Linked DNA regions of Drosophila melanogaster. The protein of the gene in region 3 interacts with the protein of the main gene of each other region in a pairwise test. Each region holds a gene or a part of one and is shown on either strand. Other genes may lie near its edges.

The links. The genes of interacting proteins can lie anywhere in the genome.
Region 1: the proteins of Mondo (region 3) and CG14829 interact in a two-hybrid assay, tested with the Drosophila melanogaster proteins (one large-scale study listed by BioGRID).
Region 2: the proteins of Mondo (region 3) and Pdp1 interact in a two-hybrid assay, tested with the Drosophila melanogaster proteins (one large-scale study listed by BioGRID).

The regions. Positions count from the first base shown.
Region 1 is NT_037436.4:7,234,534-7,241,308, forward strand, and holds CG14829 (uncharacterized protein), read right to left. Parts: upstream 3,590-6,775; 5' UTR 3,567-3,589; coding exon 3,049-3,566; intron 2,983-3,048; coding exon 2,841-2,982; 3' UTR 2,267-2,840; downstream 1-2,266. Other genes in the region: CG14826 (uncharacterized protein), read left to right, coding at 251-768, 898-1,039; BHD (Birt-Hogg-Dube), read left to right, coding at 4,102-5,260, 5,350-5,452, 5,511-5,631; RpL18 (ribosomal protein L18), read right to left, coding at 5,768-6,244, 6,322-6,408, 6,693-6,695.
Region 2 is NT_037436.4:7,828,308-7,836,185, forward strand, and holds the start of Pdp1 (PAR-domain protein 1), read right to left. Parts: upstream 4,767-7,878; 5' UTR 4,247-4,766; intron 3,521-4,246; 5' UTR 3,272-3,520; coding exon 2,080-3,271; intron 1-2,079.
Region 3 is NT_033779.5:21,304,934-21,312,976, forward strand, and holds the start of Mondo (mondo), read right to left. Parts: upstream 5,118-8,043; 5' UTR 5,006-5,117; exon of another isoform or gene 4,006-5,005; 5' UTR 3,855-4,005; coding exon 3,355-3,854; intron 1-3,354. Other genes in the region: crc (cryptocephal), read left to right, coding at 6,942-7,110, 7,165-7,275.

The DNA.
Region 1 (6,775 bases), on a different chromosome or scaffold from region 3:
TGTTTTTACTTTTAAATCAAAAAAATAATTTGTAAATCATATACTTGTTAGTATACTTTGAATATTTATGCATACATGCACCTTTTTGGGTCAGTGTAATCCAGTTCTTGACAAATTCATAATGCTAATTGCCTGGCCAAATGTTTGTGCCTCCGAAATTTCCACTTGTCATCTTGCGTTGATGGCTCACTTCAGAACGAGTTAAGTCCGTGACGCCTACACCTGCAGCTAGTTAGTAGTCGTTGGGAGCATGAAGTGGACAACGGGTCTGCTCTTGGCGGTGGCCATGCTCAGCCTGCCATCTCGGGGAGATTCATCCCGAAATCTCACGGAATTCATGGGACATCGACAGAAGCGCTGGCTGATCTACCAGAATAGTGGGTCTTTGAAGTTTAGTATTGGTCCCTCGATGCCCATACCCTTGGGGGACAAGGTGACCTTCCGTTCCTGTGTGCTCTCCTACACGCTCCAAGGTGGTTCCTATTCCCTGCCCACATCACCCATCTGGCCGTGGGATAAGTGGGAAGGCACCTTCGCTCGTTCCTTGATGCAAATGCGAAGGAATATTGAGCGCCATGTGGCCAATGGCGGAGTGCGATATGCGGACGATGCCAGGCTCTTGGTCTACACTGCACTGGAGGAGTATATGGGCAGGAGGAACAATGACCGCTCCATGGGCAGACAATGTCTGCTGCGCTCCATATGCGAGAATGCTCAGATCCATCATCATATCGGTGTGTTCTCGGAAATTATGGATATTGTACTCAGGTAAAAGAAAAGAGTCTTCAAGTTTAAGGAATACGATAAATATTAAGTGCTCCCTCATCATTTCTCATTCATTTTCAAACACTTACACGAATCCCCATAAATGCTACTTTAATCTGCCAATCATTTTAGTCCCGGCAAAGCGGATCTGGACAATGACTACCATGATGCCTACGCCGCGGGAAGAGCTGGAGCCAATTGCTTGGGCCTGTACAGTGCCTGTCCTCGGGGACACAACTTCCTCGACGGGCTTTTGATTGTGGAAGATGATTGATTTACTGCTGCTCCTGCTACAGCTACTGCTGCGGATTGCTGTCGAGTACGGAAGAGAATGGGGATCCGCAATAAAGTTTTCAACCAAATCAAAGTGCATGTCTAATGGTTCTTGTCCTGATGTCGGATTCCGCTTGTTCTTGCTGCATAATTTGGGGCGGAAATGCACGGAAGCATGTCTGAGGGGGCAGGAAACTGTGTTGACTCGGCTCCAGGATGAGCATGTGTGCACATCGATGCAGGCAACCCACCATGCTGAAGCGTTTATGCGGGTGTCTTGCTCTAAAAACAACGCATTGTGGGCCATTTAAAGTGTTGGAATTAAATATAAATAAAAGATAATATTATTGCTAACACGAAAATGGAAAACTAAAATTATATAACTGAATAATTTCACCTATAAAAAAAATAACAAATAATAGAAATATATAATAATATTAATCATACGCACCGTAAGAACATTTCTCGAAAGCTATGTAACTAACTCGATCATTTTGTAGTTATTTAAGCTTACTTTAAATTATTTTCCCGCTTTGTTTTCTTAATATTTAGTTGATATTTTTGAATTTACGATATGGCTGCCGCATAAACATGACAGCCGCAGACATTAGTTACCTATTCCACTGCACCATCACAAGTTCAAACACCGCAAAGTTGTGCAGGCATTCCCCCCAAGCCACCGCCCCCTTCCCCTACCTTCCTCCCCCCCCACTTCTTTGCTGCGCCAACTGCACTCTGGCAGGTTCCTTCGCCCCACTTTCTCCGCTTTCACCGCACTCCCCTCGCCTTCTACGCCGCTTAGCTCCTTCGTTGTTCGCGTTGTCATAATCGCATTTGAATTAGCTGTGCACACGAGGCGCAGCTGAGGATTCTGAACAGGGTGCATAAATGAATAATAGTAAAATTAATAATTGATAAGACAAATAAAATAAACGAAGATATGAATTTATAATGTACAAATACGATTCACAGATTTACTTTATTCCACCTATATATACAAATATTTATATCATTTCATTCGTCACAATAGAGAACATTCATTAAAATATATTTGAAGCTAAATTTATATTTTTATATATATTTATACTAGAATGGAAATTATATTTTTATGTGATAGGAATAAAAAAGTAATATTTAACATACTATCGAAGTAGACAAAGTAAAAATATAACTTAATATACTTTTATTTATTTCTTTGAATTCAACGATTCAAAATTAGTTAGTTATTCTAGGGAAATCTCTGACTAAAATAGTATCTGCTGCACCCTGTTGGAAAGCCCATTCCATCCGCTTGGCACCGTCTGCGAGCCTAATGTGCCACTTAAGACGCATTTATTGTCTTTCGTTGCTGCTGCCGGCGTTCTTGCCGCGCGGCGGCTGTTGGTGGTGCCGCATTTTCCATTTAATTGACGCCATTGTTGACAAAATGGCGGTCGTGTGTTGGCTTTCGCTGCACCGCTTTCCAAGCCCAACTTGCACCAGCCACAAGCCATTAATGTTAACGCATTTTTCGCCTAGATTCTGGGGTAGGATGTTGGCATGGATGCACTCGTGTTTCTGGTTTACCAAAGGCGACATCCTCCAGTCGGTGGAGTTAAAGGGGGCGTGGCGACGACAAGGGCGCAAATCACTTGCAATTAGTGTTAAAAATTCAACGGAGTAACTAGATTGTTCATGTGAGCAGATATACTCGAAAGTTGACAGTGATTCCAGTTGATCTTACTGAAAAGCACTATCAGTGGTAATCATTGAATTAACTTGATTTATTCAAGTCGTAACATCAGTTTAAAAAAAAACCCTTTTCAATACTCCACATCCAGAGCATATGCATCCAGCACACTTTCACCCCTTGGACAATCCGAATAGCGAGCTAGGCAATCGATTCCAGCCTGGCCAGCTGCTAAAGCCTCCTTGTAGGCCACATCCAAGCGCGTTTTACCAGGTCTATTAAGTTTATATAGATTTATAATTCTTCCATTCAAGTAATAGCATTCTAAAACTGCAACTTACGTGAGTAGAACGACTAGTAGCTCCGCCATGATGCCCACATGGTGATGCACCTGCGCATTTTCACAGATCCCTCGCAGCAAACAGTGACGACCTCGACCAGGAGATCCACTCACTTGGTCCATATAGTTCTCCAAGGCGGCATATACGAACAGGCGAGTGTCGTCCTCGTGCGTCTCATCCAAGCTCCTGATCTTCTCCTGCAACGAACGCGCATATATCGTCTCCCATTTGTCCCAGGGATATAGTGGTGCCGATGGCAGGGTAAATGCCCCGAAATGCAGCACATAGTAGTAGACCAAACTGCGCCAGACCACGGGATCCTCGAGCTGAGTGGACAGCACGGGACCCACTACCAAACGGATGGTTCCTCCATTCCGGTAGATCAACTGATGCCTCTTCTGGCGCGCATGCATATACTCCGTAATATTTTGGCCAACTGGAGCAGCTACTAACATATACGCACTCCTAACCACAGGTAATGAACAGGCCAATAAATATATCCAAGAAACCAGTTGCATTGTGTGGAAAAACGTCTGTAGGTGGCACAATAACTTTCGAGAATGAAACTCACTGGAATCGATACCCATTTGTGATGCTGAAAATTAAAGCATTATGGACTCAAGCAATTAGCATCCAAATTGGGTTATAAAGACATCCAGATCTGCTTTACATTTTCGTTCTGCATAATTAATTGGGTAAATAATTACAGATACATTTCTACATATCTTAAAAACACAATTCAAAAATTCTTTCTTAATTTGAACTTCTATTAACATAAGGAATTTATTGTCATGTGTATTTATTTAATATTATGTCGTCATAGCACATTGATTTATAGTTTAGTATTTATATTTTACATATACAAAACAAGAATAAAATGTATATTCCCGCAAAATTTAAAATATCGCTTAAGAAATCCCTGCAATGTTTTCTATGTTCTTACCGCCATTTCTGGTATTTCAGTGAATGTACGCAACTGGTCACTCTAGTATTATTAACTAACAAAATAAACAATAACATAACCAAGGATATAAAGGAAACTGTAGAGCAGCGATGAACGCCGTGATAGCGCTGTGCCACTTTTGCGAGGCGCACGGTCCCTGCGCCATCTTCTGCACCCAGACACTGAGGGACACCAAGCTGGAGGACCTGTCACTGGAACAGCAGACGCAAAAGACCTGCTCCGCCTGCAATTACTCCATGGGCAAGAATAACAATGCGATCTACAGCAGGGACACGGAAAGCGGGGCCACATTCGTCAGCACCAAGGTGGCGGTGCTGCCGGAGGTGGCCAGTCTGGTCAAGCAGGCGGCGGTGCTCAGTCTGAGCAATGGTACGGATGCCAGCAAGGATGGCGAGTTCGTGTTCTTTGGCGATTCGTCCAGGGGTCACATCCTGAGTCACACCTTCCGAGTGAGCGACCTGCAGGCCCGCGGCTACTCGCAGCTGTTCTCCATCATTGTGCTGATGAAGGACAAGTATTTCCTGCTTAACATCAAGCCCTTTCTGGCGGAGCACCTGAAGAAGGTGTCGTCGGAGCTGCAGGCAGCTGCCAAAAAGACCAAGGAGACGGAGGAGCAGACGTACTCAGAGCGACAGAGGCGTCTGTCCGGCGCTCAGTTCCTGATGCCCACTTCCCGTGCCTTGCTGGAGCTAACAGGCGAGGAGCACATCTTCGCCCAGTTGCACTCACACTTCTCGTGGCTCCTGCTAGCCGGATCCCGCTTCCTCACCGAGCACGTGACCTTCGGCAACCTACCGTGGCTACCGCCACAAAGTAGTGGCCGTCCTCCCGCACAGCGACTCACCTACAACAGTTCCACACTGCCAATGATAGAGAGCATCGACGATCCCGATCTGGAGGAGTTCTTCTCGTTGCGCCATCTCAAGAGTGTCGTCCGCAAGGAGGAGTTTGCCACGGTCTGCTATTGTGCCTTGACTGGGGTGAAGATTGTGGTCAGAGGTGATCCCAGAAAGACCTTCCGTTTCATGGTCTGCCTGAAGAAACTCCTGCCCGAGCCCATGCACAATCTAATGCGAATCGATGCCCAACATCAACACTCCATCAGCTCCGAGTACAAAATCATATCCGTGTCCAATGACATAGCCGTGCCAATGGCCAGTAGCTCCGTTTATCGGATCGATTTTCTGGACAAACACGTCAACGGACACGAGGTGTCGGTCAAATGGCCAGGAGAGCTGCCACGAAAATGTAAGCTTCACATCCAATCCGTTCCCGCTTTCACTGATAAAAACGAGTCGGGGATATTGATATTGATTCTATTGATTCTCCCACTTTAGTGCCAGATCTTATGGTGAAACTTTTAAAGGCGGTGGAGGAGAAAAACTTCACAGAACTCGTGCTGAACAAGCAGACCAAGGTGCTCATCGAAGAGTGGAAAAAGTGAGTAGCCGTCCTATTTTGCTGCACAGATCCGAACTCAATTGAATTCCATCTACAGCAAAGTGACCTGCCTCAACCATGCCAAATCCACCAGCGTGCAGGGCAAACTTAAGAAGGTGCTTGGCGTGCAGCCGCACGATCAGCCGATTATTAACTACTGGAGCACACACCTTCACTAGTACAACCGATTACCGCACAGATTAAGGACTTTCTTTTTCACCTTTTGGAATAAAACTCTTTTATTGCCGTGCGATGGCGAGAAAAATCATTATCTTAACCAAAAGGATGCCGAATCCAGTCCAGTCAGCCAGTCGCTTACTTCTTGTAGCCGCAGCTGGAGCGACGACCACGAGCACGCTCGAACTTGCGTCCCTTAGAGCGGACATAGGGGCGGGTGTGCGAGTGGGGCACACCGGGAGCCTTGCCGAAGTGCTTGCAGGCGGTGCGGGCGGTACGCCTGCCCTGCAGCAGCAGCGTGTTCTTGCCGGTGGGCGATCGGAGAGCCAGTTGATCGAAGGTCAGGACCTCACCGCCGGCCTTCAGGATGCGCTCCCTGGCGGTCTGCGTGACGTGCAGGGCGCACACGGTGAGCTTGGGCACCACCAGGAGGCGGGCATCGTCGGTGACGGTGCCGACGACCACGATGGTAGACTCCGGCTGGTTGGCGGCCTTGAAGAAGCGAGCGATGCGCTGAAGCGATAGCGGCGGCCTGTTGATCTTGCTCATGAACAAACGCTTCAGGATGATGCGGTTGAACTTCTTGTTGGTGCGGCGCTGAAGGAAGCGGTACAGCTGCGGGGGCAAACAAAGAAAAAAAAACAGATTAATCTCCACATTCAGCTGGTAGTCAACGCCATCGAAAGCCTCACCTTGACCAGCAGGCGCAGGTACACATCCTGGGATTTGGGCTCGGTTCTGCGAACCTTGCGATCGTACTTGTGGTTGATATCAATACCCTGCAAACGAAACACACGTATTAGAACTGGTGTTTATGATCGGAAAAACAATTGGTCGGCATTCGAGCGTATGTTTACTACATATCCATGGAACCGATCAGTTAAACTGCTTATTTCATGGTATTTTAGCTTCACAAACTAGATGCCGCCCACACAAATTTGTTTTTATTTCATTCCGTCGCCAGGAAGCTTCGCAATGCACGTGGGCTGAGCCACAGTTGGCGTTTTAGGTTATTTGTCAGTTTCCTGCTGGAATCATTGCCGCACTTTTATCGGTAACCCACCATTTCTTCTGTTGAATGTATTAATCAACGCTAAAATAGAGAATTGGACATTAATTTAAGCTAAAAACGTGGAGCATCAATTT
Region 2 (7,878 bases), on a different chromosome or scaffold from region 3:
CGCATTCCGCCTGTTTACTTTCTTTCGTGCCGCCTGGCAAAGTTCGCCGACGTCGACGTCGCTGCCGCCACGCTTGGCGGGAGCTGCGCTGCCGATGCCGACGTCATGCGGAAGCAGATTTTCCGCTGCCCACGAAAGCAGCAGCTTTGTTTTGAGTCAGTCACAAAAAAGCTTTGCGCTCTTCTAATTGAGTGATATTTTCTAAGCTCGAGTTGGATATTTTTGAAAAGAAGATCAAAATAACTTTTGAGTTTTAAGGTTTTTTTTTCTTCATTCTAATATCCCCTTTAGATAATGATTGTTAGTAAATGAAACAAGACAAAAGCTTACCATTAACAGTTTTAGCAAACCACAAAATTACTTGTACTCACAAAAAAGTCGATAATATTGAGTTTCGATGCTTACCTGTAAATAAAAGAGAGTGAAAATTGAATTAGAACAATGTTTTTTCAACAATAAGGAAAAAAAAAGCAAAATTGCATTTTTATAATAGTACGTAGATATTTGGTATTGTCAAGGGTGTCGGAAATTTCCCATGCATGGGGTAAAGGGGTGACCACCCACAGAGCCAACTGACATTTATCCATTTTAGCTTTCCCCACTCTTCCCACACATTAAAACGAAATTCATACAAATTATTATACATGCTGCCTTAAAAGGTAATTTTCGGTATATTCAATAGCGAAATTTGCACCAACCCCAGCGAAATACAACAAACAATCTAGAGGGAGAGATGATAGAACACCCACATCTCATTTGCCATATGCATTTCCATATCGTCAGCCATAAAAATCTCATCAGCCTAATTCCGAAATCTAATCAAACCAAATGTATTTCCCCAACGTTGACCAACTGAGGTCAGTTAAAAAAAAAAGGAAAACGGAAAAACCCATGAAAATTGGTGGCAGCTAAGCCGCGATTTTTGAAAGGATTTGTGCCAAATGCATTGACAAAGTAGATCAAAAAAGGTGAAAGGATGTGCCAAAAAAAACACACACACAAAACTGGTTGAATTGAAACCCTTTTAGGCCAGCCAACTAAATGCCAGCCATGTGGATCGTTTTCATGATTATTAAATGGAAAATTTAACGGCATATAAAGTAATTTTCCAGTTCTAATTGCCATGCATAATGAGAATTCCTATGGGCCAGCTACTAAGAGAGTCATCAACTGATAAGATATAGGTGTTTTTGTAAACAATACTCTGCTATATACCAACTAAATTTAGTTAATTCACTGGCAACGCAATTTGGCGTAGGTCGAAAAATAAGTAATATAATTGTTTATCTATAACACGAAGAAAATTGGTGAAAATAATGAAATAACCCTTGTGGTAGGCAGCGAGCCAATATACTTGGCGATTCCTCGTTGCAAAGATACATTTGCAAATGTATCTACATTTTGAATTCCATTTCCTATTCAATTCGAACCGTCGGCGACGTCAGTGAGTATTGTATATACGGGCTACATTACTATATGCATATAAACTATACTATATAGTTCAGCTGAGCTCACGTGTGCGCGGCAAGCTTTCTTGACTTTTGCGCTTTACAAGCTCGCAATGCGCAAAGTTCTCGGCCGCTGACGTCGGATGATATCAGTCCCAGTGGCCGGGATGCAGATAGAGGTTCTACAGACATATCGCACTGGGTTACCATGCACATACATACATATGTATGTAAGAGTATATATATCCAGACTTCCCAACGGAACGAACACTCATTTTCTAATGCAGCCTGGGCGAATATAGAATGGAAATCCTCAGAACTAGTCATACACTTTATCAGTTGTTTTTGGTTTTTCTCCCTTTAAGTGTGCTTTTTGTGTTCTCAAAACAATTTAGTTATTCAGAGTACTGTATACAACTAATGTTTAAGACAACCAAGAAAAGTTGAAGTATCTAAGCGGTAGAAAGATATATACATAAGTTTATATATATATACGAATGCACAGTACAGCTGTTAAGTAGCACTTTTCCATTTTTCTATAGTTAACAAACCATTTAAGGTCATTACTATATATCCAATATATATTTTCCAACAATTTCCCCCCCTTTTTTCCTCAAGTTTTTCACCTCACCTGAGCTGGCTGGCTGAAATCGCGCTTTCAAGCTGTTCAAATGGTTGTGATGCTCATTGGCGATCACTGCCGCTGCGACGGCATTTGCCACATGTTGCACGGAGGACACATTGTTGTTGCTGTTATTGTTGCTATTGCCACTATTGTTGCCGTTATTGTTGTTGTTATTCTGGCCGGGATTTCCACCATTTCCATTACCAGTTGCCGCCACAACAGCATTACCATTGCCACTGGCATTCCCATTCGATCCCTGGTTGCCACTTGCAACTGCAGCGGCTGCCGCAACAGCGGCAGCATTGCAACTGGCAGCAGCAGCTGCTGCAGCTGCAGCGGCATTACTCTGCGGATCCATGAAGGAGTTGCGCTGGTAATGGGGATTCTCCTGGTAAATCCTCTGGTACGTTAGCGTGGGCAGCGTCCACGAGTTGTTCGTCTTGTAGTGGAAGTTGCCGGTGCCGAAAATGGAGTGGGGGTTGGTGTTGCCACCGGTATTCCCGGCTGCAGCAGCAACGGCGGCCGATGACAGTGTATGTGCCAGCTGGGCGGCATGATGCTGCTGCTGCTGCTGCTGTGCGTGCTGCTGTTGCTGCTGCTGGTGGTGTTGCGGCGGCGGCTGCTGCTGCTGTTGTTGTTGTTGTTGCTGCTGGTGTGTATGATGCGGATGCAACGGGTGGCCGTGATGTTGCTGCTGATGCTGATGCTGGGAGTGCTGCTGTTGCTGCTGCTGCTGCTGCTGCAGGACATGCTGATGGTGCGCTTGATGGTGTTGCTGTAGGTGCTGTTGGTGTTGCTGCTGCTGTTGATGCTGCTGCTGTTGCTGATGGTGCAGGGCGGCGGTTTGTTGCTGCTGCTGCAAGGCCCAGGCATTCACGCCATTGTTGCTGGTGGCACCTGCCCCGCCGCCTCCTGTGGCGCTACTCTTGCCCGAATCATTGCTGCTAACACTGCTGCGATGGTTGTCCATGGTTCCCGATGATCCTGTCATGCTGCCATCATTTCCGCTGTCGCTGTTGCCGCTGCTGCTGTTGTTGCCGCTGCTGTTGTTGTTGTTGCTGCTGCTGCTGTTGCCACCGCTATTGCCCGCCGCTGCAGCAGCAACGTGCGAGTTAAGCTGCTGGAAATACTGCGACAATGTGGCATTCGCGTGCTCCTGGGCAAAGAAACTAGTACACGAATTCGTATCCGACGACATGATCACTGGTTTCAACAACTGGGTACGTTATTCACTGGGTTATCCTTCACTGGTTACGGTTAATCACTGTTTTCTGATGATCCTAGGTGATCACCTCCTTGTGCTGAACGTGATTAAATTTGCTGGTCAGCAGTATAAACTTTGGGCCACGGCCAAAAGTTGTGCGCATTGTCTTTACACTTGGGTTCACTTTAGTTTTTTTGTTTTTAACATAAACGCTTGTCTGTGTTATCTGAAAAAAATATTGTGCTTTTGTTTTTGAAAAACCCAGATTAGTGTTTGAGCACTTTGGTATGTTGCTGGTTTTTTATTTGCCAGTCAATTGATAGCCAATTCGTTGTTGCTAATGAACAGGTGATAGGTGGGTGAAAAATGTTGGGAATGATTCAGTTTTTCAGTTTTATTAGTGAGTATTGAGTATGATGGGGAAGCGATTTTGATAGCAACTGATAATGAATGCGCTTGTTTTCGTGTGGTCAGGGAATGCACTTTGTTTTCGTCTATTTTTGTATGATTTTTATTTAGTTTTCCATTAGTTTTTATTGATGATCATGATGATAAGGAATAAGAAAAGGCATTGTATAGTTGTATAGTTTGCGCTTTCTTTTAGTTCAATCAATTTTGTATAATAAGATTTTTGTGACGCTATAGAAATCTTAAAGTGGAATCAATAGGTACAAAGGCTTTCCGTGTTCTTTATGGAATTTTTGCAATCAAAACATTCACGGTCATTTATTGTTTTTGCTTCACTTTTAAAACGAGACAAACTAATAATTATTTGCCAATTAAACTGTATATCAAATCAACCGAGTCAAAGGCTTCCAATGTTTTTTTTTTTTTAACATTATTTCAACGTAAATTTGGAATATTTTCTATATATAAATCAAAACAAATAAATTATTATTTTCCAAATCAATTGAATTATCCTTTTCATTGATGAATAACTCTTCTTCCTTTCAGCCTTTTGTTGAATACCTTTTCTTATTCTCAGAATTTGTTGCTGCGCTTGGATATGAGATCGTTTTTTGCTTTGAGTTTTGCTGGTTCGTATTTTTCTTTTTGAAGTTTGTTGTTTTGTAGAAAAATTAAAAGTAAATTAAACTGTTTGAAATTAGATCCGTAACTTTAGCGCTGTTGTTTAAAGATTCTCGAGAGATCTCCGGATCTCTCGCTTTTTTCTCTATCTCTCTCTTTCACTCTGCCTCGTTCGATCTCTCTCTCTCTTTCTGCGTATTTATTTCTTTTTTAATAATAGTAATTATTCGAATGACACACACACACACACTTTAGATTGATTTCACAATGAACCCATTGCACTTGAAATTTGATAAAACAAAAATGACTTCCTCGATTTATAGTTCTTCTAGAACTATTTCTGTTGCTTGAAAAATCAATTTCAATTAATTTATTTTGTTGAGCGTAGAAATATTTTTTGATTTTCCCGCTCGAGTGGCGAAAACACGGAACGAGCTGCGACGATTTTCACATGAGAACGCGATGCGACAGAATGCCGGCCGAGTAATTTTCTCGGTCTCAATGTCCGTCTCTGCTTTTCCTCTGCCGCCGCTGCAGTCGTCGCTGCAGTCGACGTCGCAGTCGCCGCTACCGCTCTCTCAGCCAGCTAAAAATTGCAATTTTCTGCAAGTAAGTCGGCTTACGTAAAGGGCGGAGGTCCGAAAACAGTAACCCCTCTCCTACTTTGATAATTGTTTAACTGGCTTTTTTTTATCAAATGTTGGTAGCGCAAAATATTTGTACATGTACAACAAATATTTTTACATACAGCACTGGGAAAATGATTAGCATTACTACTATATTAATCAATTCAAGTGCCATAGGTATTTTTAGTACAGTTCTTGGTATATATTAAACAGTGTTCATATACGAGTACTTCGACTCAGATTTAGTATCAAATCTATTATAAATTATAATTCACTTAGGACTAAACCTATGTTATCTTCTTATATCTAATTATCTATCAAGAACTTAATAATATTTTTTTTTAAAGCAACTTTGTTTTATCTCAGTTATTTCAACATTACTTATAATATTCTAGTAACAAAATTTATTATTTTAAAACATTTTTTTCTTGCTCTTAAATGATTGCTATTATCTTGGACATAGCTGTAGTTATTTGTATATACTTGGGGGACTGGAACTGCGACGCCCGCTGAGGCGCTGAGCGCTGCTGCGGCCAAGTCACGCGGATTTCAATATGACCCAAAGCCCACTGTCTAGCACAGTTCTAAGCACGTGTTGCGGACACACCGGGCACACACACATACGCAAATTAATTGAGAGAGAGCGACAGAGAGAATGAGAGTGCACGTTGAACGACAAGCGCACTCAAAGATACACGTACCGATAGGGTGACAAATAGAGATACGAATGCAACTCAAAAGTTTCCAGTCGATTCGCAATAGAGCGCTATGTCTGTCCCCCTGTAACGGGTGTACCTATGGCCACTAGACTTTACACATCAGCTGGAGTGCGTGGCCGATTGGCCAATTGCCGTGCCAATATTCGGTTAATTCGGCACTGGTGCGTCTGCAACACGTGACGTATGCGTAATGTGCTCCAAAGGATTGCCTCTGTGCCACCAACTAATTACCGCTGCGTCATTCCCAGTAAGTAGATCCGATGGGGCAGAGTGGTGGGGGGGGGGGGTCTGAAGCTGAGTGCTTAACACTCTGGGCGAAAACCCAATGAAACGACGTAGTAGCTGCAACGGAGCGTATACTTAATCTGCATTCTATCGAAGGCGCTAAACTATTGCCGTAGGTCGCCGTTTTTCTTGGAAATTTCAAAAAGTATTCAAACTATTCGAGGGCTTAATCAAGTTTAAATAATTATAATAATTGCTCTCTGTTGGCATAGGTCCGGTAAATTTTCTTAGAAGTTTTGTATAATACACTCAATACTTACCCAATGATCATCGAAGATTTTATAACTATGAATCAGAGCAGTAAGCAATTTGAGATAAAATATAAAAACACATTTCTGATAAAAATGCAAATAAACTGAATTACAATTACATGGATTATTTAAGAAATATATAAATAAAGAAATATATAAAATAAATAAAATATATAAGACTTATTCAATTTGTAAGGTTCCATCTTTCGTTAAACCAATTCAAAAGAATTCCAAGAATATCCTCGCCATTTTTCTACTTGTTAAACTTGTTAAGTCGCCCACCTTTTTTCAGCCTTGTGCTATTCTTCGGTTAAACAAAACTCTTTTTTTTTTGCATTTGAGAAACCCAGTCAGCCCTGAAAACCCATCAATTGGCATAACCATGGACCATGTGGTAGAGCGAACTTCAGTCACCTGTTTTACCCAGGCGGGTCAATTCTGGGAATATCGAGTATACGCCCCGTGCAGCCAGTGACTATTTTTGGAAAGCAACAAGTCATCCGAAGCTCCGAAGCGAAGGAAAAAACGAAGTTTGCTTCGGGATCCAATAACAGAAGGATGTGCGGCAGAGCTTTGCTATTGGCCAGGCTTATATGCCAGTGAAGCCGAGAATAGGGAACCAATCCGGGAAAATCTGCCAACGTCGACATGGACAGAGAACGACGTCGACCGCGACGACAGCAGAGGCAGCGACAGCGGCGTTGTCAGGTTTTCTGTTTGTTTTGTTGTCAGTTGTTGTATTTCGTATTATCACGTTTCGCTACCACGTGCACCGGCGGTCTCCCCTTGCCAGTGTGTGTATCTGTGTGATTGGGCTACTGCCTCACACACACTTGGTACAATCAAAAACACACACCGACACACACCAGTGCAGCGCACTCACATAGATACGCCGTGGCGCTACGATGGATGAATGAGCCCTCAGAGAGCGCCAGAAATTGCTAAGCAAAACCCAACTGAGTCGAAGACACAGCTCTTGCTGGTTTATAAATAGCAATTTAAAGCATCGCACACACATTCACACATCGAATCAATGAGTCACACACACACTAGCATGGCTTTATTTTGCATCCGAAGAACAAAAAATACAAGTAGGAGAAGCAAAACACAGACTGCATAGATGTGCAAATAAAGCAAATTGTGCAGAATAAATATCGGAAGCGGAGCAGCAATCGGAAAGTAAACAAAATAATTGTTGCTCTTTTTTCAGGAAAAAAAAATATTTTTTTTATAGATATATATAATTCATTCTTGGTACTTGAAAATACCTAAATTTTTTTTGAATTTTTTTGAGCATATGTCGTTGCAAATTGAGGCACTAACACACACAGGCAGCAAATCAAACCTTCATTAAACACACTGTGATTTGGCGTGTTTGCATGGAAACCGTCTGGGTTCTGGTTCCATATAGAGGTATTATTATAATGGATCCGTTGGAGAGCGGGGTTTACGAGTCTGGCATGGCGACGTTGGAGTCATTATACACGTGTTTGCTGCAGCAGGTCGTAAATTAACATTTTGCTAAATAATTATTTAGAAATGTTGAAATGTGTAAACGTTTTTACGATAGCACGACTGGGTTATTAAAAGCCTGCAACCAATTGACCCAGATAGTGCAGCTACATTTACTTTTAAGGGTAAAATATATATAAATATTGTTAGTTAGACGGACTAACTTAGACATAAATCAA
Region 3 (8,043 bases):
GTAAATTAAAAGTTATTTTGTGTTCAATAAAGTAAAATATACAATTGAGTAAAAATTAAATTAAATATTTTATAATATGGAAAATCAGTTACAAAACAAATAGATTTCTTAGTAAATATTTAATCAATGCGGAGATTACTTTATAAAAATAGACTGACCCTCAGCCCTAAGCCATTTGCAATCTTTTTAAAATCTACCTATATACACGCTTCTGTGTATACATTTGTATCGGTTTTAACAAAAACATCTATTAAATAGTGTGAGTAAATATATATTCAGGAAGAAATGCCTAGTTTCTAGCTAAATTGTTTCCAAGCAATTATAGGGAATTATAGACATAAATTATTCCGACTGTTTTTTTTTTAAATTATTTTTTACCAATTTTTGTTTAAATGGAGCAATATAATATGAAATACATAAAAACTGTGATAAAAGTTTTAATAATAATTGTTTTTAAACCATTTCATATGGTATTATATGTATTTTAATCAGAACTTTAAAAGTGTTTTTGTCCTCATAAAGTAACTTTAAAAATGTTTTTGTCCTCATAAAGTAATATATATAAAGCATATAACTGTGGACGGCAGTTCACATAGGGGCGTCTACTATTGTGGACAACGGTCCTGTAGTAATGAAAGTCCTATACTAAAAGAAATCTTAAACGTATCGAAAGGTATCGCAAAAACTAATAGGACTTTTAAAAAATTAAATGGTTCAACGGAAAAAAATTTGTGAAGATTTAACAGTTGAAAGTACCAGCTAATGTGATATTATTAAACAAAAAAAATTTAAAAACCTTTTAATATTTAAATTTTTGCCCGACCAAGCTATTGAAACTAGAGGACTGTGCTGTGTCGGCAATAATAAGTTTTTTTTCGACTATCTGATCAAAGGTTTGACGAGATAAAAAACTAGCAAATGCGATGAAACAAAAGAAAAATCATACAATGCGTATTTTTAAGAACACGTTTTTCTGTGGGTAATTAATTTCCACTAGATTAAAATTGTCTAAATTGTTACTTTCCCACTTTCTCAGCATCATCTTATGAAACATATGTTCTACCTATTGATAGGTGTACCGTTCTGAAAGGACACCAACATTATATATATACCCGTTATTAGGACCAATAGCCGAATCGATCTGGTCCTGTGCGTCTGTCCGTCCGTATGAACGTCGAGATTCATAATGCAACACACGCCCTAAATTTCCACGACCACATTTTTGAAAAATTGTTGGATATTGTTTTCATAATTTTATTAATCTGGTAAATTTCTATCGATTTGCCAAACCACTTTTTGCAACGCCCAATCTAACGCCCTAAAGCCGCCCATAAGTGCCGCGACTACATTTTTAAAAATTTTTGGATATTTTTCATAAGTTTATTAGTCAAAAAACCACCCCAAATTGACACGCCCACACTTTTGAAGAATGTTTAGATTTTTCTTCGTTTTATGGTTTGTCTTGCCAGTATTATGGTATATCAAAAACCCCTTCTCAGATCTACAAAACGATCATGCGAAACATTTAAGCAATTTTGAAATTTGTTCCTTAGTTTATTCCCCAATATCTATCGATATCGTAGAAAAATGATGCAATTTTGATTTCGCATTCCCACTGGCACTTGTCCCGAATTGGACTTAAATATGTATATGTAAATATGAATGTTGTGTATTAAAAATCATGGAATTAGAAGAGAAACAAAACTTTAAATTTTATTAAAATGGGTAGCCGCTTCAAAAAAAAAAAAAAAAAACAGCAAAAAGTAAAATAAACAAGAGAGAATGCTATAGTCTAGTTCCCCAAATATCAGATACCCGTTACTCAGGTAGTGATTCGAACGCCAAATTTCAAAATTTTTCTGGGATATCGATAGATATTGGGGAATAAAATGAGAATACATTTAAAAATTGTTCTAAAGACTGGCAGCTTTATGGCGTTGAGTGGTGGTGGCAAAAAGTTTTTTTGGAAAATCGATAGAAATTTAAAATTATGAAATAATATCCAACAATTTTTCAAAAATGTGTGCGTGCCAGTTTTGTGCGGTTTTAGGGCGTTAGAATAGGCGTGGTAAAAAGTTTTGTTGTAAATGGATAGAAATGTACAAGACTAATTAAAAAATGAAAAAATTATTCAAAAATGTGGGCGTGGCAGTTTTGGGCGGTTTAGGGCGTTAGAGTGGGCGTGGAAAACAATTTTTTTCCAAATCGTTAGAAATTTACAAGACTAATAAAAATGTGAAAAAATATGATCACGTTTTTCAAAAGTGTGGGCGTGACAGTTTTCAGCTAGTGTTAGAGTGGGCGTGGCAACATGGCTAAACAAAGTTGCGGTTTTAACTTGGCTAAACTTCTAGATTTTATAGGGTTCCTGAGATCTCGACGTTCAGGCGGACATGGCTAGATTGACCCAGCTATAGATCCTGATCAAGTCGGAAACGCCCGTTGCATACTTTTCAACTAATCTAGTATCTAGAATCGTAGAGTAGAAGCGTATAACAATTACGTTGTTCTCTCTTTTAATATGTTATTTAGACAAAAAAAGCGTTTGGAAATGTCTTTCCATCGAAACTTAACACCATCAAAACAACCGGCGGGCGTGCAAAATGAAGCATGTTATAAATTTAAATTTATATTTTTCCTCGTGTATATTGTAGTCGCTAAAGCGCATCCAGGAGAACGCACACTCTCCTAGAGCACTTAGTCACTTAGTGAAAAACAACAATGAAATCACATGGTCGTGAAAAATGTAAGGAAATCCGAATTCGTAGTTATTAACAATACGCGTATATATATGGATCATACAAACAACTACCGTAGCTGTTTTATAGTGACTAAAAACCATCATTATAACAAACAAATTTAAAATTTAAAACTGTATAACACTTTTTTTAAACAAATCCTTTTCGTTCTTTAAAAAAAAACAAAAAACAATAGCTTCACAATTCAGATTTTTAGTTGATAAGGTCTCAGATAATAATATGTTGTAAGCAAATTGCATTTCATTTTGCAAAATTAATTCATTCTGATATTGCTTTGGCAATACTTTAATATTTTCTCTATGATTGCGCTGTCGTTTGCAGAAATGGGAGAAGTAACAGAAAGAGGGGTATAAAGGGTGGCAGAGGAGCGATTGAGGCAATGTGGGGCCAAAGTAACCTGAGCAGCGACGTCACGTCTCAACATGTGCCGCGATTATGGGACCGAAGCGGTCCAAGCTTTTTCGTTTGCTGGATTTTCGTTGGCCAGTTGAGCGTTATCACGCTCGAAACGCGTGAACAAGCGGGAAACAACATTTCATAAATCTTCAGGGCCCCGGTGTTCGGTTGTGGTCTCGAGTACGAGTCTTCAACTCACCTGTAGGCCAGATTCATGCACTTGAAGAGTTTGGTGAGCGAGGTCTCTATCTCCAGGTGGGAGGTCACCATGCTCATGCTGCTCTCGTCGCCCTCCTGGTCCATGGCGCTGAAGTGGGCCACTGTTTGGGGTACGTAAAGCTGCACGTCACGACATGTGTTGGTTGGCTCGCCCGGCTTGCCCAGACCGGGGTCCTCAGGGTCTAGCATCTTCACCTCGCCGTCATCCTCTAGGTCGTCCTGCGCCTCCTCTGCCTCGAAGTGCGAGACCATAAACTGGCCGGAGTGGATAGACTCCCGCTCCGCCTTGAGCAGGTCTGCCGTAGCCTCGGCGGACCCTGACGCCGAAGCACCTACTCCCGTTTCGTACTGCAATTGCTGGAAGTTTTGGCACAGAGACTGTTGCAGATAAGGCTGCTGGTGCAGCTGAGGCAGCTGGTGCTGCTGGTGGGGAAACATTTGGCTTGTGCGTTGGTATCCCTCGTGTTTATTCAGCATCATTTTCAACAGGTGCCAGGGGATGCCTATGCAAATAGTTTACTGTTGAGCCAAAATTTTGGCGGTTGCAGATTATGTCGATATGGCGAGGGCACATTTAATGGTTTTTTAATGTCTCTCGCGTAGTAAAGGCTTTTAAAAGCTGGTGCTGACCCTTTTTTAATTTGGATGGGGTTTTTCCATCATTTCAAAATATGTAAACGTTCGCAGACTATAAAAAAAAATATGTTTTGTCTTGCCTCGTGGTTAACACATTTATTAATTCTCTCATCTAGTGTTTGTCCTTGTCATTCTATTAACTAAATTACTAAAATAAGCGATTATTTGATAGAGACATAGCACGGTTTTAAGATTTTGATTTGTTTACAATGCCCGACACCTTCAGCTTTTCGTCATCGACACCTGTCCAATTGTTGCTTTTTCCGGAGCGAAGCTTCTCTAATGGCAAACACGCCCCGCTTTTGCCGTTATATGCGTCACACAGCACAATAACAACAATTTTCGCACACACACACACACACACAATCGCGGCGGGGTTGGCTGGGGATACGGACGTCAGAACGAGACGTCAGTGGCCGCTTGTAGCTCCTTGAACAGATAGTGAAGCCCCAACTACTCGTAAACACACGCGGATCTGATGGAAGGCCAACAAGGCGGGCAGAACCAGCGCAGAACGATCGGTTTCATTCCACAAACAGAACTGATCGGAGAACGAAGCTGCGAAACGCACATAACCTGTGCGCCGCACACAACACAACAATGAACAGCTGACGCGAAATCTCTCTCTCTCCCTACCTCGCTAGCGTTGCTTATCAGCTAGGAAAACGTACATACATATGTATATGTATGTATGTACGTGTTCTTCTATATGCGCAGATGTCAGGCAGCAATGTTGTCCCCCTCTCCACTATTACTATATGGAGCTCAGTCGATTTGACTCCTGGCATTCGGCCTTGCCATCCAGAGTATGCACTCCACAAGCAGTTCTGTGTTTGCACTTTTGACCTCTGGCTCAGCGCTGCCTTTGCATTTTGCCTTTTTCCGTTCCCACTCATATACACGCGCATGCACGCGCACCACAATTTCGGTACAACTGCAACTGCCCCCTATAGCAGAAACACGGGCAGTTAGCAGGCACGACGGACTACCAATACCACGCACACACGCGCAACACAAAGCTTCTACGTAGTTTAATCACAATATAGCACACATTAACCTATTGCGGGTAGCGAGCCCTCACCATCCCATCAGGGTTGTCAAGCATTTGGTGGCTCTGATAAACAGCACCCTCTTCCTAAAAATGGCTGAAAGCTGCGAGCCGAAAAACGCAAGAATGAGCATAATCACCCCAAACGTAAAGATTGGGAAGGGCAGCATACGAGGTCATATGTTTCCTGCTCCGAAATTGCAATACAATGAATTTAGGACGGCTATTTCCCGTAATTAGTTTCCAGTTTTATGGAATTGCTATTATATCTTTTTCCGACAGCACCTTGAAACCGCATCAATAAAAAGTTAATGCGTTGAGACTAATAGGAAAAACTAGAATATATACATATATTATACTCAAATGTAATGTGTTTTTTAAACATTGTTGTGCTTAAGTAATTAGGAAAAATTATGTAAAATGGATATTTTCCCTTTATGTTCACTATATTGTTTAAGTTAGAGAATAGAATACCCAGAATAAAATTAGTGATCACACATCAAAAAACTATCGATAAACATTGAATTAGTTCCGGTTAAAATTTAATAATAAGTATTCAAACTGCACACCTTGTTACAAAGTAGTGTAACTGCCTAATTCTTTATCAGCAGACTAGAGGATTTCGCACTCCCATGTTCTTTTGCTTAAATACCTTTCTCGGGCTTATATTAGACATTATACTTTCAGAGAATTTTTTCATTTGTACTGTTAGAAGGTTCTTAATGAAATTGCTGTTCAGTTCAAAATTTTTATATAGTCATTTAATAATACTTTACGAATGATTTTGTGCGCTTTAGATTTGTGAGAAAAAGGGGTGGGATTATTTAGTAGAAAGTAGCAAGGCATTTCCCGATCTGGTAACACTGATTCCAACACTCATTACCGTTCCAAATGAAACGCAAAAAGGTTCAATTGTTATTTTCTCTCACGATTTCGGCATTTATATTAACCTAAAGATGGCTCTATAGTTTGCGCGCAAGCAAAAACAAGCAGCACCTAGGTGCCCAAACACAACAAAATGGAAACGTATAAAAATCAAAAGTGAGTATACACCAAGCTAAATTCTCGCTAATTTCGCAATTTATCACGCACACTGCCGCACTTGGCGTTCTACTCATTCATTGTTGCTGCACGTGTGTTGGTGGCATTGCCTTGTATGGATTTTCAATTGACCGGGCGAACGTGGCAAATCAAAACTCAGTGGGGCATGCCACCTGGTAAAGGTAAAGAAATTGGCTGACGCAATCGCCGACTGGAGTTGAGTAATGTGCGTTGCAAGTCGCCTGCACGTGCGAAAATGAGATGACTCACCACAGTAAGGACTACCCCAAGCGGACACAGCCCAGGACAGAGCTGTTTAAACCGGCTGCGCGATTGCAGCTCTACCCTTGCATTCTATATTTACCTAAAATGTTAAAACATAATTACTATATTACTAAGCTAGAGGGGAGAAAGAAGTTTTCAAAAAGAAAATTAAAATCAAAATTTGCGTGCTTAATCTCAACTTTTTTGGTGGTGGACACGGCAATATTGACTCTTGGTAATAAAATGTTAAAAATACATTTATCTTTCATAGTTTTCAATGAATGTAGTCTACCCTTAGATTAATTTGAATATAAGAGGTACAGTAAAATGATTAAAAGTGTTTTTAAAAGGGTAGCGACTATTCATTATCACTATGACTCGTGATAAGTCATTAAACAGCTGTGGGCTGAACAGCGAACCAATTAATCATAATTAATTCGTTTCTTTAATTCTCAGCGCCATCATGGCATTTTCACAACAACAAAACACACCGCGAAAACAACCATTCTCATTCTTCGGACCGGATTTCATACTCTCAAAACAAAACATATCTTTGACCCCTGATTTGAACTCTGGATATGGACGCGACATTTCACCAAACCATGGAGAGCTTGCAGTTGCCCAAGGAGCTGTACTGGGACCTCAAGATGGAGCCACAATCCCCAACATCGGTTTTGGGCTCCGATCTGTTTCCGCTCACTGACTCAAACGATACGGAGTGGCTGTATGACGATAACTTTGCAAATGGTTTGTGGTGCCTAAAAGTTTTTTTGAAAGGATTTTTAAGGATTTTAATTTAAGGCATTACTCTTATTGGCGATGATGAAGCCTTGACCCTGGAAGAGGTAGCTTCTCTCCAGTTGCTTAGTGATGAGGAGATGGTTGTGGAGATCTTTGACCTGAAAGATGAAGGTAGGTATATTTTAGTGTGCTTACTTTTTTGTACATAATAATAATGTAAAATAATAAATGTTCTTGTAACTGTAGCTGAGCGCAAAATGTAGATAAACCCATTTGCGAGGAGGTCTTAAACCCATAAGAACGACCTCTTAGAGTTCTTATTAAAGCACCCAAATGTTTGCTAGTCTTACATTTTTCAAAGTCCAAAATAACTTTATTTATAACTTGAAGCTCATAATATTAAAGCAAAGACCGTTACTATGATTACTATGATAAGATAATTGGTAGTTATGCCTGATACTCGTAGATCAATGGGAAACTAGGCTCATTGAAATCTAATAAATAAAAGTAAGCTTTTCCGACTCTATTCAATTACTAGCCGAGTCGATTTGGCCATGTCCGAGTGATAATCAAAATCTCAGGAACAACAAGAGCTAGAAAGTTGATATTAAGCAAGCATACTCACGACCAATTATTTGAAAAAGGGATTACATTTCTATTGATATTCCAAAAATATTTGAGAACCTTAAATTGTCCGGATCTTTATATTAGAAGTTTTTAATAAATTGAGTTTTCAATTAGATACAAATATCTTAAATAAATACACCTATGGCAAATCAGTAAAAATGAAATATTTAGATATTTGCAGGAGCTTTGAACGTCTGCAAAATTCCCGCAAAAAAGATCTTTATATAAATATTAAAACTCAACTTTTGTTGTATAGAGCTCTTTCTTAATAATTAGTGTAGATCAAGTGGATTTCATTGTCTGAGTCATTAG